Linked DNA regions of Kluyveromyces lactis. The protein of the gene in region 1 purifies or fractionates together with the protein of each later gene. This does not show direct contact. Links are inferred from orthologs where the notes say so. Each region holds a gene or a part of one and is shown on either strand. Other genes may lie near its edges.

Region 1 (3,761 bases):
ATTTGATTTCAATGTCTGTTGCACCAAAAACAAAAATCTTGCAAAAGAGTCCGCCTGGCAAATCCATATCCAATACTGATATGTTCTCCATCAATCAAGGCTTCACAGCTCCACAGAGAAAAGTCAAAGTGTTAATGGTATTAATGAACACTAGACCAAACGCTACCAATGATTCTACTAGGTCAAGTGTGGAAAAGAAGTTGCTGGACTCTCGACTAAGTGTCATCAATGCTGCTGTGACAAGGATCATGAAACAAGACAGAAAGCTTTACCATTCCGAACTTCAAGACAAAGTCGCACTGTCAATACCACTATTTGAAATGAGCCCAAGTCTTTTTAAGATGAGTCTCGAATATTTGTTGAATAATGAGTACATACAAAGGGATTTCGATAATACAACTATGTACCACTATTTGCCTTAAATATAGTTATTAACTCTATCCATACATTTAACAATTAAACTATTTCACGTCTTCTTTAACAACTTTCTCAATTTGGTAGCCATCTTAGCAGCACCTTCCGTTTCCTTCCCGCATATAGGACAGTTTGTTGAGACCTTCATCTGCTTCATGAAGCAAGAGCTGCAAAAGTAGTGGTTACATTTTGTTACCACGGGCGATGTATATTCTTTTTTGCAAAGGAAGCACCTGAACGGTATCTCTTCCAACTCTTTGAGAACCTCTTTCTCCTGAGTTTCATCGACTTTCCAGTCCGTGTTGAGTTTCCATCCACCTGCGACATCATCTCTGGAATGTAGGAACTTACAACTATCACCGTACCCACAGTACCCAGTCTTTTGGAAATCTTTACAAATGTCCGGTTGATAATCGGTGATTGTAACCGTTTTCATATTTTTGCTTACTGGCTTGACAAACCCGGAAACTTTGGCTTTTGCCTTCCGTTCGATATCTTCGTCTATCTCCTGTTCTAAAACCGTACGTTCCTTCCTTCGGAGTTCCAACTCCTGTTCTTGCTCTTCTCTTTCTTTTGCTAGATACAAAGCACGTTTATCCTCATTTTCAACCTCAACCTGTGCTTCAGCAACAGCGGTCTTTCCGGTATCTTTCGGCAGCACTGGGTCAGATGCGACGGCCTCATCTGCAAGTCGTTTCCTTTTGCTATCCCTGGAACCTTTCACTACTCGTTTCTTGAACATGAAAACTCAAAAAAAAAACAATATAACCAACACCTTTACCACTATATCAACATATATCAACTGCTTAAGTATACTTAACGGTCCTCTTTGGTCCGTAGTTGTCCTGCGATGACATAGTCTTTTAATAATGTAACCGTATTTCAGGTGATCTTTGTCATATTATCAACATAAAAAATAAAGGATTTGAACAAAGATTGAGTTAAGACTGACCTTTACGAAGAAAGGGACAAAGGACGACAGAAAAAAATAGCAGAAGGACTACCATTCAACTGGTAAAGCAATTGTTTCATATTGGCTGTGATTTTTGTGATTTGATTTTAATTTGCAGAGTTAATCATTGCCAGTGAGAACGACATGAGTGACATTAACGAAACTAGGGCTCAGTTTCTGGATACGGATAAGGATGAGAGTAAGTTAAGCGAGAAGGCTAGCCACACCTTACGTAGTGCATTGAAGAAGCAAGAGAAACAGAAACTTGGTGGAAGAGAAACAAACTTTGAGAACAGCAATGGCGTGGAATCGTCTCCTTTGTTGAACAGCACGCCTCCTACTGTGTCAAAAGCATTAGTAAAGCTTTATCCTTACTTGGTTGTTTGCAATGAGTTTTTGGGGCTCTTAACATGGACTAGCGACGATATTTGGAAGAGCGTATTGATGGTTATATGCTACATCGCAGTAATCTTGTATTTCCAAGTGGTGGTAAGGTACTTTGGCCATTTCTTGTTTGTCGGATTGTTATGGGGATATTCTGCTTTGGATACTTTTGTGGAAACTACCATTAAGGAAAAGCCTACACTAGATGACATTGTGCATATCATTTCTTGTGTGTACACGAAGGCTGATTTATTACTTTCGCCCTTGTCCGTATGGACGGGAAACGATATTAAGCGGATACTTTTGACGATGGCGTTTCTTTCGCCTGTCTATGTAATTGTGTCAATATTCATCTTCTCATCACAGAAATTGGTATTGATCGCTGGTGTTTACGTGCTCACGTACCATTCATCATGGTCTGTAGTCACTAGAAGATTATTGTGGAAATTAAAGGTTGTCCGGTTACTTGTCTTTTACATAACCGGTCTTGATTTGAGTGGTGTTAACAAGCATCAAGGTGGAATCTTCGCTGCAGTGCATAAGAAAGTCAAGAATCTTTCATCGAGCTCGATTGGAACCGATGCAGATGATGGGAAACCCATTAGATTCACTTATGTATTATATGAGAACCAGAGACGTTGGCTCGGTATTGGCTGGACTGCCAACATGTTGACTTACGAGAGAAGTTCATGGACAGATGAGTTTTTAAACGAGGCACCATCTCCAGAACAATTTAAACTTCCAGAAGAGGCTAGCGGTATGGCATGGAGATGGGTGGATAAGACATGGAGACTTGACATGACCAATGATGGAGCCATCCAACTCTCTAGTACGAGGCCAAAGACTACTGCTTCGCCTGGTGCGGATGATGGCTTCATTTACTACGATAACACATGGAAAAAACCATCGACAGAGGATTCATTCTCTAAGTATACCAGACGTCGTAGATGGATTAGAACTGCAGAATTGATCAAGATTGGTGCAGTGCCCTCAATGGTAAATTTGTCGGACTCTCATTCATCGGATGAAAATACTACAGAGAAGAGGAAAAGCGTAAGGATAGAAGAACCAGGTTCTCAATCGAATCAAAGGAAAGTATCGTTTAGTGATACCAGTGACGTAAGAATCATACCTGATGATTCCTACGAAAAGGATACGGAAGGTGATTCTGATGCCAGTTCTGAAGAACAGGGAGATCAGAATAAAACAACAGACGATAACTCTGAAGTGATAGAAGAAAGTCCGAATGAGAATTTCCAACGTTCAACAGACACATCTGGAGATCTTAAATCCAGGGTCACCGAATCAAATCTTGCATCTTCCGACGATACTCCAAGGTAGCATTTCACAGCGAAGTATGCCTGTCCCCTGAGTTTCCAACTCGTATCGAATAGCGTGCTTAAAGCACACCTATATACTCATATATACCAAAAACAAATAAAAAAAATAGATGAGATAATAATCATGCAGTGATAATGACGATATAACAGAGCTTGTACTAATAATACCAGGGAAAATTCATACTGTGTATAACCTCAGTCATTTTTCCTTGTGAAGCCCAAAATAAAACTTTAAAAGCTCGCAAAGACAATTAACACAGGTAAAAAAAACCTACCACTGGACGCTTAATACAAGCTGTATTATCATCATTAGAGTAGTAATCTTATCGTCTCATCAATGAAAGAATGCAGATAAAAAGTATGCGTTTATTATAACTTATTTGACGAGTTTGTTCATTTCAATCTGGATGGTTCGTTCCTCAGGTAAAAATTGCCAGTACAAAGTGCTGGTAATTAAATCAATTCAAATTCAATTTAAATTCAATTCAATAAGAGTACTTACCCCACACCATGGGTTGAAACAGACGATTGGTGGAATTTCCAAAAAAAACAGTTGATATGGTATTAAAGAAAGTATTAGTGTCTCTCTAGACTACCCTTACAACTTGTTAACGTTGAAAGTTGGTGGCAAAGATTGCAACAATTTCTTGGCCTTACCAGCATCGTTAACA
Region 2 (3,293 bases), on another chromosome or scaffold:
AAGTTCATCGTCATAGCTTTGACTGAAAAAAAAAAAAAGAATGAGTAATTTCAGTCCACATCGCATCAAATCGCAAGTGTAAAGGAAGCAGTGTGCATGAAACCGTTGAAGTGCATCTGAGGCAAGAGAAGTGATACAGTGTTATGCTTCGAAGAATGTCAGAACTGGTTTCGAGTTTTTCTGGCCTTCACATTGCTTCGGCTGGTTCAAAATCGGTTGTGACTCCAAGTGATAATGCGGACCTTACAAAGGGTGGTAGAAGGAACCAAGCATTGACAAAACCGATCACCATCGATAGTAATACAGGAGAGGTACTGGTTAGGAAAACAACAGGTAAAACGAAAGTAAGAAGAGGTCAGAGCGCGGAAGAATATAAGGAACAACTTAGACAGTATTTCTTGGAGGAGAAAGGTCCAACGAGAACTGAGGAAGATGCCTTGAAGATGGAAGATTTTGATCTGTTGATTGAAGATGAGAGTTTTGACTATGCATTGAAGCAAGTACGACAGAAAATGGTCTCTTATGCTCAGAAATATTATTACGAAAGAGATTACATGAAGTGTTTAAAAGTATCAGAGCCGTTATTGCATAAGTTCGAGCCGTTCAATAAGAAAAACAAGATACGCAGAGAGTTAGAAGAACTCAGATACATGATCGAAAAGTCAAAAGCAAGGTTGGAATTGCAACCGTCCCGCTAGTATTTGATATGTCTACACTGAAATATCTATGTAACTCTATATTAATGTGCGCTTCCCATACTAATATTGATTACGCAATTATACAGGACTTATACGCACTTCAACACCGCTCAAAGTACGCTTTGTCAGTTCCGTTTCCCTGTCCTCTGTTGAAACCTCATTTCCATCTTCATCTTTACCATCATCAGCGAATACCTCATCCAAAACATCTAATGTCTTCGTTAATATGTCAACTTTGTAATCACCCATTGTATTGAAGTGTGCAGCAACTGATAGAGTTTTGAAAACAGCTTTACCCATGCCCAGTAGTGTAATGTATTCACTTTTACGTCTATGCAGGTTGGAAAGAAACCTGTTGGTTCGTTTCACCACGGAAATGTAAGGCGATGAGCTCTTCACGTAGATTGTAGTTTTAATTTTATCATGAGAAAACGTCTTCACTGTCGGAAGTTTTCTTCGTAACTGATTTAAATCCTTAGTATTTCCCATAACGTGGTGTTGTAAGGTTTTTTCGAACGCCCACGAAGCAGATTGCTTCTCTTGTCTTCTTAGAAAAGCCGTTTCTCTTGTTCACTTCTTCAGGCCAATTCAAAATCAGAGACTTTAATTAAAAGGAAATATAGATTACAATACCGATTGTGCAAATAACAAGTAAAGGGCAAGAAAAGAAAACGGCGTCTGGATAAGCTCAAAATCGGTTATTAGTGCATACAATATTGTTCAGATGTACCATGAGCAACAAGAAACTTCATGTCAGATTTGTTTCTAAATCGAAATCAGTTAATCCCCCATATAAACCACAAGACTTAGAGCCCATTACAATTGCATGTCTTTATAGATTATATCCTTGGCTCCTACTGCTGGACCAGTTATTGGATAAACTTATGTGGCATATTGACGATGTTTCCTTACAGTTGATATATATTATATTGCTATGTTACTCAACAGCGTTGGTTGTACCGAAGAATACTTCCTTACTTTTCCAAGCGTTTGATATATGGTTGGGGTACACAAGCGTATTCATTCTTGCTGGCACTATGTTTTATTACAATTATACGCTATGGAAAGAGCTTGAACAGAGCGAAGCACCCACAATAGATGAAATCACTCATACTTTGGACTCTGTTCTTGAGAAGCTTAAAACGGTTCAAAATGAAGTCCTCGGTACAGACAAGGTAAGAAAACTTACTAATATCAATTCACAAACCTTTAAGATAGTGGCTCTTCTGACAGTAATTCATTTAATTACCGTTAGTTTTTTGGATGTACGAACATACTCAGTGCTTGTCATTAGCCTTGTCTCCGTGTTCCATTCAGTGTATTACCAGAGCACGATGAAACTCCTATGGAGGTATTTGTGGATAAGGCGATGTTACTATTATATATGGGACAGCGTACCATCGGAATCCAAACTGGAAACCAACTTTCAACAATACAAGGTGATTTGTGAGAGTCAAGTCATTCCATTCCCTAAATCTCTACAAGGCTTGAAGGGCCAAGAGCTACAGGTTCAACTACAAATGTTAATCCTTCAGGATCCAACTAAGATTGATCCAGAATCCGATTACGTACACGTCAAGATCATCGAATACAACGTTGATGAAAACGAGAGAAAATGGAAGCAAGAGGGCTGGACCCCAAAATTGCTACCTTACGAAAGAGCTCACTTCTCTAATTCATTCACCCAAACTCCATCTGTAACACCATGGAAGTTCCACGAAGAACTACCTTCCGATTGGATCTGGATTGAATCTACTTGGGTACCCGGCAGCTGGCAATACTGTGATGCAAAATGGAATTTATTAGGTGCGAACGATTCGATTGCATGCTTCACTCGTAGAAGAACTTGGAAACGAAGAGCGTTCAAGATACTAACCTGAAGTTGGTCAAGTGGAAACTCCGTTTTTGGCAGTCGAAGTACAGCTCGAGAGTGTAACCACATATATATATATATATATATGTATATCTACGTAGTTTTGTAAAATGTTGCTGGATACATGTAATCACAATTTATTTATACATGTATACTCACATCACTGTACTGTCAAATAGGGTGCTAAGGATCTACGACTGCTATCTCATCTTGTTTTCTGAACCTTCCTTTCATGCTTTTTAATCATCATCACCGATTATGGCAACCGATACTCTAAAAAAAAAAAAAAAATCCCAATGAAGAGAAGCATTTAAAGTTTAGACAAGATAATAATCACGGAGAATAATACACAAATCAACATTGACAATCGTCAATAAGTGCGTATCAAAACGCTGTCGATAGTATCCTGCATAAGATCTATATTGCTGTGATGATACGTATAGCACCACCTTTGAGAAATGTCAGATATATATTTACTGCCAAGCCAGTGCAAATGACTTTTGAGGGCAACACCGAGGGGGTATACGGAAGTGAGGAGGAAAGGATGAGATCTGTATTCGGGGGTAGACTTAAGGGCGAGCCTCCACGTTCTACTAGTAGGTTTTTGACCTCGGAGAATATGAGAGAGATAGCTGGAGTCAAGGTACCGTCCAAACCCATAGAACCAGACAACTGTTGCATGTCCGGTTGTGTCAATTGCGTTTGGGAATTATACAATGATG

Evidence for each region.
Region 2: the proteins of KLLA0_C18238g (region 1) and PEX32 purify together in Saccharomyces cerevisiae (affinity purification with mass spectrometry; 3 studies listed by BioGRID, with this or other methods). This does not show direct contact. The link is inferred for Kluyveromyces lactis from reciprocal best matches to the Saccharomyces cerevisiae genes PEX30 and PEX32.

The regions. Positions count from the first base shown.
Region 1 is NC_006039.1:1,610,706-1,614,466, reverse strand, and holds KLLA0_C18238g (PEX28-32 family peroxisomal membrane protein), read left to right. Parts: upstream 1-1,510; coding exon 1,511-3,091; downstream 3,092-3,761. Other genes in the region: cullin CUL3, read left to right, coding at 1-422; U2-type spliceosomal complex subunit CWC24, read right to left, coding at 467-1,156; RPL38 (60S ribosomal protein eL38), read right to left, coding at 3,689-3,761.
Region 2 is NC_006041.1:2,186,800-2,190,092, reverse strand, and holds PEX32 (Pex32p), read left to right. Parts: upstream 1-1,429; coding exon 1,430-2,578; downstream 2,579-3,293. Other genes in the region: KLLA0_E24685g (uncharacterized protein), read left to right, coding at 144-698; ribonuclease P/MRP protein subunit POP7, read right to left, coding at 777-1,187; DPC25 (Dpc25p), read left to right, coding at 3,002-3,293.